Notamacropus eugenii: one gene and its partners. The protein of the gene in region 2 interacts with the protein of the main gene of each other region in a pairwise test. Links are inferred from orthologs where the notes say so. Each region holds a gene or a part of one and is shown on either strand. Other genes may lie near its edges.

Evidence for each region.
Region 1: the proteins of TASOR2 (region 2) and NEK6 interact in binary tests that used the Homo sapiens proteins (3 or more experiments, as listed by UniProt). The link is inferred for Notamacropus eugenii from reciprocal best matches to the Homo sapiens genes TASOR2 and NEK6.
Region 3: the proteins of TASOR2 (region 2) and ERH interact in binary tests that used the Homo sapiens proteins (3 or more experiments, as listed by UniProt). The two-hybrid records come from large-scale screens. The link is inferred for Notamacropus eugenii from reciprocal best matches to the Homo sapiens genes TASOR2 and ERH.

What each region holds. Positions count from the first base shown.
Region 1 is NC_092872.1:446,227,254-446,231,000, forward strand, and holds the start of NEK6 (serine/threonine-protein kinase Nek6), read left to right. Parts: upstream 1-1,092; 5' UTR 1,093-1,107; coding exon 1,108-1,498; intron 1,499-3,747. UniProt on the Homo sapiens protein: Protein kinase which plays an important role in mitotic cell cycle progression. Required for chromosome segregation at metaphase-anaphase transition, robust mitotic spindle formation and cytokinesis.
Region 2 is NC_092874.1:209,473,179-209,476,925, forward strand, and holds the start of TASOR2 (protein TASOR 2), read left to right. Parts: upstream 1-1,450; 5' UTR 1,451-2,101; coding exon 2,102-2,189; intron 2,190-3,747.
Region 3 is NC_092872.1:310,048,659-310,052,405, reverse strand, and holds the start of ERH (enhancer of rudimentary homolog), read right to left. Parts: upstream 2,178-3,747; 5' UTR 2,092-2,177; coding exon 2,059-2,091; intron 2,039-2,058; exon of another isoform or gene 1,910-2,038; coding exon of another isoform or gene 1,907-1,909; intron 1,694-1,906; exon of another isoform or gene 1,465-1,693; intron 1-1,464. Other genes in the region: SLC39A9 (zinc transporter ZIP9), read left to right, coding at 2,178-2,285. UniProt on the Homo sapiens protein: May have a role in the cell cycle.

The DNA of each region.
Region 1 (3,747 bases), on a different chromosome or scaffold from region 2:
CAGAGAATTGCTGGTGCGTGGGGAGGTTCCGAGGGGGTTATGGAAACCCCCTTGCTCACAGCATCATAGAACTTTATCGACCTTTCCTCCCGAAGGACCATAAAGAGTACGAAGGGAGGCCAGAGGACTGGGAGGGATGTTAGCACGTGGAGGGCTGCAGCGGGAAGGGCCCTTCAGTACGGTCCAAATGGCTCCTCTTTACCCTGGACTTAAAACTTCACCTTCCTCACGATCACCCCTGAGCTCATTACCCCCCTTTTAGAGGTCGAGAAGGGGGCTCCACGGAGGCTGGGGGACCTGGGAGCCCAGCTATTCGCAGAGTCGCATTTCCACAGTTCCCAGATCAGGTCACCGGGGCCCCTCCGGGACAACGGAAGGGACCGGCTCAAGGTCGCTGACCTCCCCGGCCGGACAGGCGGACAGGCTCTCGGCCAGAAAAGGATGCAAGGTGGGGCCCCGCTGGAGGCGGAAGGCGGAGCGGAGGGGACAAAGGGCGGCCCGGGGGACCGCCCGGGGAGGGCGGGGCTCGCTTCCCGCCCCCTCGCAGTCCCCGTGGGCCCCGGGACCGCGCTCCCGGGAGGCCTGCGTGGCAGACAGCGCGCGGAGGGGCAGGCGCGGCCCCGGAGGGGAGGCGGGGGCGCGCGTGCGCGGCCCCGGCGGCGGCGGCGGAGTTGGTGGTGGCGGCCGCGCGGAGAAGTTGCGTCCGGGACTCGGGGGCTCCGGCTGCGCCGCGCTTCGCCCCGAGGAGCCGGTAAGGCCCCGGGGGGCTGGGGGAGACTGGCCGGGGCAGAGTGGGGAGGGGCGGTCCTTGGGGTCCTTGGGGGCCGGGCCGGGAGCTGGGGCGGAGGAGGGGAAGCCTCAGGCTTGGGGCAACCGGAGAGCCCCGCGCCCCCTCCCCCCCGGGCTCAGCGCCTGGGACCCCCTCCCCCAAGGGCCCCTCCTCTGAGCTCCCCCTTCCCCATAGCACCCCGAGCCTGGGCGGTCAGCGCCCCCGGGGGCAGAGGGGGGGCTGAACTTGAACTTGGCTGGAGCCTGGGTGTTGTGCGTGTCCGGGTCGGTTGGTGCACGGTCGTGGCGGTGCGTTGGTGGGTCTGTCTGTCTGTCAGTATGTGTCCGTCGGTTGGCGTGCCGTCCCTCTGGGTGTCCGTGTCTCAGTGTGCCTGTCCCTGTCCGGGTCTCCGCGTCCGTGTGTCGCCCCCTCCCTCCGTCCAGGCGGGAAGGGGCTTGGCCCGTGGCCAGCCTCCCTCGGTGCCTGCAGCTCCCAGCTGCTCCGGGCCGAGCAGAGTCCAAGATTCCTCTTCCTGTGCACAGCCCCATTGCTGCGTGCTGGATGGGGGGAGGCTCCCAGAAACAGAAGTCGGGGCTGGGCTTTTGTTTTCCTCCGCAAAGGAGAGGGTAACAGTGAAAAGTCAACTTTGGAGGGGACTGTGGGTCGTGGAGGGAGGGACACGCAGCCCAACGCTACTTACAGACCCATACTACGTTCGGATTCACGCAGGTAGATGTTTGTAATAGGTGGGTCTGTTTTCTCTGGGGCTTTAATGCAATGTGCCTTCCTCACCACAAGTCTGTGAGGTGGGTAGGGCCGGCGTTATTATTCCCATTTTACGGATGTGGAACATTTGATTCAGAGAATTGAAGTATTTTATTCGTTGTCACAACACATCTAGTAGGTGTCAGAGCTAGGATTTGAACCCATGGCTCTTGTCTCCAAGTATATGTCATGATGGTGAATGGGAAGAGACACATTGAGACAGACACAAATAAAGGCACTGGGACATAGAGACGTAGATCAGTTTATGTATGCTCGTGTACCTACCTGTTTCCCTCCCATCTCAATTGACAGTCATCACGTGGGGCCTAGTAGATCTCTTTTCCTTGCCCCTTTGTTGGACACCTCAGGTTCCGGGAAAGGAGACCGTCTCTCCCTGGGTCTTCTTTATTTGGATGGGACTTCAGTCTGACATGTACATAAGCTTCTCTGATCTGCATTTGTATGGTCTGTAAAATAGGTACACACTGCCTGCTAACAGAGCTGTTAGGAAAGTGATTTGTAAACTGCTTTGCTATAGAAATGTGAATTGCCTTAGAATATAGAATATCAGAATTGGAAGGAAATTCAGTAGTCATCTAGTCCAACCAGCTCCCTCTTTTAACAAGATCATACAGTTGGTAAGTGGCTGAGCCAGGACTTGAACCCAGATCTTCTGGCTCCAATCTAGGGCTCTTTTCATTACACAAGAATGCATTACTTGTAGATAGAGCCAGAAAAACTATAACACTTTTCTGTAAGTTAATTGTCCCAACTTTTGGGAAGCTGCACCCATAGTATTGCTTAGGGTTCAAGTCCTAACGCTGTCACTTAACTGACTTTGTTACCTTGGGCAAGTCACTTTGGACACCCGAGTCTTCATCTGTAAAATGGGGAATTAGAATCCTTCTACTAGGTCCCTCATAGCGATGTGAGGATCAAATGAGATAACAGATTAGAAACTCTTCAGAGTGCTGTAGAATTGTCCCCTTCGTTTGGTGGTGGAACCTCCAGAAGGTTGGCCAGCAGGTGATGATGTATTTTGATTCCAACAAGTTTTGAAGTCTATTTCTGAGGGGTAGAAATGTTGGAACTCTATTAGCTGAGGAAGTGCCCACACTGATGAAATCATGGGGCCTCAAATTGTTGAAGTTATATCGTTATTACTCACAGATCTCTTGGTGATTTTGAGATGACCTGTTGTCTGGTTTGCCTGTGTTTTTGTATAGTGGAATGTTTCAGCTTCCTTTAAAAATGAAAAACAACAAAATTGACCTCTTCCAGAATTGGGAATAGGGTCAGAAGGAATGAGAGGCAGAGGGCTTGGTGTGAGAGGGAGGAATGTTTTACGTATGCAAATGTGATACTTGAATTAAAAAACAAATGGGATTGTCTTATAGGGCCACAGTATGCTGAGATGGATGACTGTGGCTTCTTTAAAAAATATTTTCCCAAATGGAAGAATTGTTGTTATAGAGCAACTGTAGTTAGGAAAAGAGGATGAGTGAGGAGTTCTAACTCTGGCTTTGTAACTGTCTGTGTGACCTTGGGTGAGTCAATTCCCCTTTCCAAGGCCTGACTTATCTTTTCTGAAGAATGGGATAATAGGTAGCTTCTAAGGTACCAGCTCTCAGTTCTGGGATCCTCAGGTGGGGAAGAACACATGTGGTCCTGGCTAATTAAGGAAACTGAGGATATGCAGTTCATCCCCTGGTACAACTGGCTATAAGCATGGGGAGAAAGAGACTTGGATTTGTAGTCAGTGTGCTTGGGTTTGCTACTTAATACTGTTGTGACCTTGAACGCAATATAGTATTGTATACCACTTCTCAACCGTCTTGGTCTCAGGACCCCTTTGCACTCTTAAGAATTACTGATGACCACACCTACCTCCACAGAGCTTTTGTGTGGTTTATAGCTATAGATATTTACCATATTAGAAATTGAAACATTTTGGTATTATGAAAATAATTTTGATCTTGTGGACCCCCTGAAAGAGTCTCAGAGGCTCCCAGAGGACAAACCACTGGACTGTAGTAGATAGGGCACTGGAATGAGTCAGGATGAGTTGGATTCAATTGTTACCTCAGGTACTTACTAGCTGTGTGATTCTGGGCATATCACTTAACTTTTCTGTGACTTCGTTTCTTCATCTCTAAAACAAATGACCAGAAGTTTATGATCTCTGAGGTCCCTTCCTGACCTATATCTATGAT
Region 2 (3,747 bases):
AACCTGATTGGTGAATAACTAATAAGGGGGTGGGGTTTTCAAATGAGGAGGTGGGGCAAAAGCCTTCAGCTCCTCTTGCTGAGAAAGAGGTTTGATCTCGAGACTCCGCTGCCTCCAGCCATCTGACAAAGGAAACCATCTCTATCTACCCAGACGTCTCAGGTTGGTTTTCACTTTCATGACCTGGATTACGCCAGACTTCAATGGAGAGGTACACGACCTGGGGCTTAATGCCTGGAGGCTGGAATTCACCTCCCTTAGATTCTGTTTACATTTTAAACAGAAATAAAGTCTCCTAGTTGGGTGGGTTCCCTCCCAAGAACAAAGCTTACTTTACTAGAGAATTATGCCCTTCTGAGACTGACTTGGAGGGGCTGTTCTCTGAATGAGAAAATAGAAAAAGCCTTCATCCTAATTTAATAATTGGTTATCAATATAATAGAAAATAATAATTTCTCTCCCTGGTTGTTAAGGCCCTGAAGGGAAAGGCCCACATGCTCTACCTAGTAAATTCCGTATTGACCAGGTTGACATCTAAGATAAGATATTTTTTCCTTTTTGTTTTCTTTATTGCCTTCGCATTGGGCAAGGCCATGGTGAGTACCAAGACCAGACTTGGGGGTTGGGTTTTTAACAAGCAGAACCTCTACAAACATTGGTTCATGTTTATTGGATCTGCGTAACTCCATGTTTGGGGACGACTGTCATTTCTACCTGCGTGTGTAGGAATGTAAAAAATCTTTGTCATTGACTGTCTTACAAAGATGTTTTCGTGTATGGGACTAGAGAAGTAAGCCAAGCTTATGCCGGGGTCGCAGTATGAACGATGAATTAAAAATGCATCTATGATGGGCTTAGAATGCTCCCCTCTAGGCGCTCAAAAATTATTTTTGTACACACGTATGTATGTGGTGAAAAGTTTACAGGCCTCAAAACTGTGGAAGCACCTAAAGAGGGGGCACCTTAAGGTTGGCTTCTTTTGCGTCCCCCACGCGACCCACCGTGCTGGGGCCAGGCTTTTAATACCTGACACACACACTTCTCGTTACTTTATAAGGAAACTGGGATGCTAGATTCCAACGAAGCCAAGGTGGGTTCCGCCAGCCCCGAGCGGGCCGGGAGGGTAGGGAGAAATCCCTCTACAAAGAGGCTCTTTTGGGGGGCTTGGTTTCCTGGCAACTCTCCCACCTCCGGGCCTTCCTTTTCCTTGCAGTGTACTTCCGCTTCCGCCTCCCTTCCTTTTGTCTCTCCCTTTCCCTCTTCCTCCTCCCATCCTCAGGGGCCGAGCCCCGAGGCCACGCCTGCCCCATGCTGCCGGGGGGTGGGGGTGGGGTCAGACGGGAGGGAAATCGGCGCGTAGAGGGGCACTCGCAGGGCGAGATAAGGGACTGAGGGTCGGTTTGGCGACTGAGGACGCGGCGCCCGGACGCCGAGGGGGGCCCCGCCCTGCGTCGGGGAGCGCGGCGTTGCCCTGGGTTGCCCGCCCACTCGTGACGCCATAGTTCAGTTTTCACTTTCTTTTTTTTCTCGCTCCCGGTCTGGAAGGTTTCACTTCCGGTTGCTCAGTGGCGCCCAAGCCAACCCTCCCAAAGGCGGTCGACATGTTTCCTTTGGCTAGGTAGAAGAAAGGGTTTGCCTTCTTCTTCCCTCTCCAGAACGAGGGATCCTCTAGAACCGTCTCCTGGCCACCCCCTCCCCCCACTCTTAGGGCCGACTTGGCATAGACTCCTTTTTGGAATCTTCAGTCCTCCGGACTGCGGGGATCGCTCGGCAGCCACGACTCAGCCCAGGTGCTGAAACTCCCCAGCTCCTCTGGCTTCTCGCCGCCCCACCCCCACCTTCCGCTCCGGGCGCCCTTGGACAGAGGACGCGAGGGGAGTAAGGGCCCGCGGGGTTAGTGCTGCTGGGGCCGGGCCCAGCGCCGAGGGGAGACGCGTGCGGGAAGCGAGGCCCATGAAGCCTTAGGAACAAAAGCGAAGACTCGGAGCAAACGGAGAGCCGCGTGGAGCTCCTGGTTTCTGTGGAGATGAAAGCCATCCTCTAGTGGAGAGAAAGCTCCTTCAGCCACGAGACCCGGCGTGCGCATGTTAGGAAGGAAGTAATGAAACCTAACAGCCCGAGAGAGGAAATGAACAATGACCTGGAGACTATGGGGACCTCGGCAGTGGCAGTAACAGCACCTGAGACAGGTGAGAACCCGAGCAGGTGTGGGTGCCGCTGAGTGCCCCGTATGTCAGGTGGAGGAGAGGTCCCAGGGTGCGAAGAGGCTGGACGGAGGAGAAACCTGCCTGCCGACGCCGGACGGGGGCTCTTCTCGTTGGTGGTTGGGGGGTTTTGTGGATTAAAGAGAACTCAGGACAGGTTTTGTGTTACCGTGTGCTGCCTAGGTTAACCTGCCCGGCCCTTTCAGAGGAGTGGCTTTGGTTTGGTTTCTTTGTGATTGGATTGTTACGGAGGGAAAACGTGGTTCCTTGAGAAGAGCAAAACAGATGGAAGGTTTGGGTATGGGCTCAAGTCCGGCCTTCTCGTGTGACCTTGGCCAAGTCCTGTAACCCCTTTGGGCCTCCGTTTTCTCATCTGTAAATTGAGTTCGGATTAAATGGCCTCTAAAGGCCCCTTCAACTTTAAGTCTTAGGATGAGCGTTGAACTTATGATTGTAAACCATTCTGAATCAGAGGCTGGTTTTGGTTTTTTTTTTTTGCTTTTCACAAGATACAGGATGAGACTTGGTCTTACACCTGTGTAACTTAATTATTTGGATTGTTTTCGAAGGTTGCAGAGGGAAAAAAGGTCAGTAGTAGTGTCAGATGACAAGATTAGGCAGGATGACAACATTTGCCCGTTATCTTACATATTCACTTTAACTCAGCCAACACACTAGGGAGCCAACGGAAAGCATCATGCATTATTCAATGTTAACCAACTTGATGACCTCACAACAGGTAGGTGCTGTTTTACAGTTGAGGTTACTCTCATTTTACAGATTTGGAAACTGATTCTTGGAGAGGTTAAATGACTATGCCTAGGGTAATTTATCTAGTAAGGGTTTGGATTCTGTATTTGAACTAGGGTCTTCCCAATTCCAGGCCCAGCACTAGGTGTGGCCCTGCTGCCTTTAAGCACCTGGCGGTGGGGCAAGGCGGTAGAAAAGTCAGATGAATACATCCTTGCTCTTGTGGAGGAGTGTGTGAGGTATAGCTTCCTTTTAATCATTTCATCTTAGTAAATGAGAGAGACTTTGATAATGAGCTTCCTCCAATTCAGGATGCTCTGCATCCTGTAAGTATTGCAAGATATACTTAGTGACCATTCCTATCATTAAACTTAAAAGGGAGTATGAATTTTGTTTTGGTTTTTGATCGTTTATGTAGAGCAAACATTTCCTTTTGGGATTGGCATTTCATAGTTTTTTATCTGGAGAGCCTGGAACAGAGCTTCGTTTTATTTCTTAAGCATAATTTTCTAAAGGAGGATTAGAAGGAAAAAGTTCTTTATCAGTAGAAATAACATGGATATTTCATAGATACATGAATATCTGAGTATATGAAATAATATGGATATTTCATAGATTTTCCACAATGACTACATTTTGCTAATTTAAAAAATAACTTAATTTGACTACCATTTTTTTGATATGTAGAAACACATTTTTTGTAAATTATATATGGTAAACTTACAGAGGCAGGTCATTCTTCTCCCTTCTCCCCATTCCTTCCTTCCTTCTTTCCAGTCCCCTCACTCTGCAG
Region 3 (3,747 bases), on a different chromosome or scaffold from region 2:
ACCGGTCTGAATAGATTTAAGGGATAAATAATACAGACTTGTTATTTTTATAATAAAGATTTTTCTTTTTCTATCATAAGATACTAAAAGCATTTTTTAACTATACTCTTTCCTCATACCAGCGCTGTCTGCAGAGCTTTCTGGAGGTTCTTCATTTTATAGTCAACCCAGTTATATTTTATATTCCTTCTATTAGCCAAATTTGTTCTAAAGCATTCCTCATGAATTTTTTTTGGACTTTTAACACAAAGCAGCAATTCTTTTTACCACGAATTACAGTAAAAAACCATGCTAATACCAAATATGAGGAAACATATGGCTACCTAAGTAGAATTTAGGAAACTCATTTTCACTCTGAATTATCTCCCCTCCCTCAAAAAATCTACAATTCTAGGTAATCTTATTCATTCTAGCATTGGTACTTCAATTTTTCAACCTCCCCAAATATAATCTAATATGACAAATTCTAAGACAACATTTTGTCTCCAAATGTTTCTTCAATTTCTACCTCCCTTAAAATCCAACTCCATCGTCCTCCTGAAACTAACGGTGGTAAAAGGACCTCACAATAACGTTGTGCATTTCTCCAATGTCTTTAAAATGCAGTTTTGAACATTACCACCTGACTGCTAAACAAGCAAGCCTCTAGGCTCAAGTCTGAATCCAGAGCCGTACCCCATTCTGACACCCCATGCAGAGTGCCTGTCAGAGTAGGTGCTCTTGAAATGTTTATATAATACCATAGTAGTTTATGCCGTTGAACAATTAAAAGACCTATATTTCCCTTTAAAAGGCATCTCAAAATTCTTTAAAAACAAATCAAGATTACTTAATCTAGTCATGAAATGCGAAAGCAAATGTTTTTCACAAGAAAGCTAATTGAATTTCTCTGATTGCCATTTTAAATTCTAATCAGACTAAAAAACAGCAGATGACTCCAATGTGCGTGACAGGAGCAAGTTGTTGTCAGGGGCACCTTTTGAATTAGTTTGCTCTATTAACACAAGAGATATTTAAAATGATCAATAAAAGTGTGAAGCACTGAAAATATTTCCCAGAAAGACATATTATCCACGGTCCAAGTTATTCTTTTCGCTCCAACCTCGCAAGGACTCAATAACCGCCTATTTGCAGGCACCATGCGTACAGGATTCCTTTATACACACAGATCCTCTACAATTTAAAACTGATGCAGAGTAAGAGACTCTTACAAACAGAAGCTCACTTGATTCGCAAACTCTTAAGTTCTACATCCAACCCTCACTTGGGGAAGGCACGGGTAATAAAATATGAAGAGCGGGAATACAGAAAGGGGGAAGGGGGAGTAGAAGGAAAGTACAGCCCTAAGGAAAACAAGCATTCACACAGTTCAGAAGTAGACGAGAGAGCCGCGGCCCCCACGCGTGGAAGGGGCACCCCCCAACTCCAAGGGCAGCTCCGTGGCTGCTCTCCATAAACACATGCCATTACTCATAAGACGGCAGATTTTGGAGGGAAAACAGGCTGAGCAGTCGACGTCGCCTCGGGGTCGGGGTGGGGGTGGGGTGGGCAGCAGACTCATCCCCAGCACCCTCCGGAGCCTGCCGGATTGGAGCGGGTGCCCTCCGCGGCCTCGCCCAGCTCCCCCGGGACCGGAGCGCGCTCGCCTCTGGCGGGCAGCTACAGGCTCTCGAGGTCGCCCACGTTGCGGAAGGGGGATTCCGAGCCGTCCCCGCGGGCGTGTGAACCGCGAGGGGTGGAAGGGTGGGGGGGTCAGTCAGCCACAATGCGGACACCGGGGGGCCGGGCCCAGTCCCCGGAGACGGGAGAAGGGCGGAATCACAAGGGTCAGGGGAAGCTCCGGTTCGGCCCTCCCAGCCTAGGGTTATTATCTGGGGTAGGGGACAGCCGCCGGGGCCTCTCTCACCATCGTCCGGAGCTCCGCCGCTGCCGCCGCCACAGCCACTGCACACGAGCTGAGCCGCAACCCCGCTAACAGCCAATCCCCGCGAGAAGAGCCACCGGAAGTCGGCGGCGCAACGCGAGAGCACCCCCCCCCAGGAGACCAGAGACCCATACCTTCAAAGGAGCCGTTGACGCCTGGCTGGCCATCTTTGATGAGGGGGGAAAGACTACCGGGGAGCTTTCGGCTTCGGTGCGGATCCTGTTCTCTCCACGACGCTGAATATTAGGCTCCTATGATCAGACACCCATTCCAGGGGATCAGCTGCTCACGGAGCGACAGAGATCCAGTCCCGCAAGCCCAACTCAAAGATGGCGGCTGGCTGGGTCGAAGAGAACCAAAAGTAGGTTGTGTCTGGGAGAGGACGGTTGTGACCCGGAAGCAACGTTTCAGAGGAGGAGGAGGGGGCGGGGAGGGCAATGCCGAGATCCGGAAGTGGATGTGTGGAGGAGGTGCCACTTGGCGGCAATGGCTGCGATGGCGGCGGCTGGGGAGGCTCCGGGCCGAGGCCGGGCAGCTAGGGGGACCCCTGGGTATAGGCCAGAGACTGAGCACTGTACACGCTTCTGCTGAATCCTCCCCCGAGGTTCCCGTTAGAGAACTGCGGCCTCCGTTCCTCAGCCCTCTAGACACGGAAGAGAGTGGGCCGGTGCTGGTGGGCTGCTCTGGGCCCTGGGGGTGACAGGGGGAGGTCACTGACGGGCGGACTCAGGGGACAGGCTCGCTCGCCTCCCCTGCCTCTTGAGGCAGTGTATCCCCCGCCCCCCATTCCGTGTCCCGCAGCTTTAGGGCCGTGACTTTACGATTGCCAGTAGTCTCACACAGCATCATTCCCCCCCATGGACTTCTCCCCTTGGTAACAGCAGAAATCTTGTGCTCTTGTCATCTGGGGATAAGGCCCCCCAAAGCCCTCGCTGGTCCTGTTACCAGGAAGCAGCAGTTCTCCCTGGTAGACAAGGAAGAAGTGACTAACGTAAACCTGCTGTCGGCTGGAGCCCGAAAGACCTGACCGGAGCAGCTGATACTCCCCAAGCCTGCTCTTCGGGAGCCACGAACGTGTCTAAATAACTAAGCACCCTCTGAAACCCCGGGTGGGAGGGGGGAACAGTAGTTGGATGTCCTTTGGGGTAACGAAAGGACAAGAAAATGGATGATTTCCTCTCCATTAGTCTTCTGTCGCTGGCCATGCTGGTAGGATGTTACGTGGCTGGAATCATCCCCTTGGCTGTTAATTTCTCCGAGGTAAGACGTTCTCAATTCTCTCTCAGTTTTCAAGATAGCTGGTGTAAAGCAGAATTGGTACGGGCAGATCCCCAAACCAGCAGAACCAGAGGCCTTTTCCCTTGCTGGACTAACTTAAAATACCAGAAGAGTTTAACATGAAACCTTCCTACTCCCAAATCCCTAACTAACATAAAACTATCACCAAGAAACTTTTAAATTGATCATTGGTTTGATTCTTTTTAAATGGTAATTGGATTGATTCTAGTTAAAATCAGTTTGTGTCGTTGCTTTGAAAAACAATGCCAGCTTGATTTTTGTAGCTTTTCTCAACTATGTTTCTGAAAAAAATCTCAGAAATAGAACTTTTATTTTAAGTGTGCTCCTAATGGGAAAGGGATCGAGATGCTGGTATTTAAAAAGTAGATTTGGAAACATTTGTTTTCGAAACATTTTTTCTTATACCGTAATATTTAGGCAAATGTAAAGTTTATTTTTCAGGCCTTGAGCATGCTGAGAAGATAGACGTAGCATAGATTCTTTAAATGCCATGTATGTTATTCACAAAATGCAAAACCTACAGA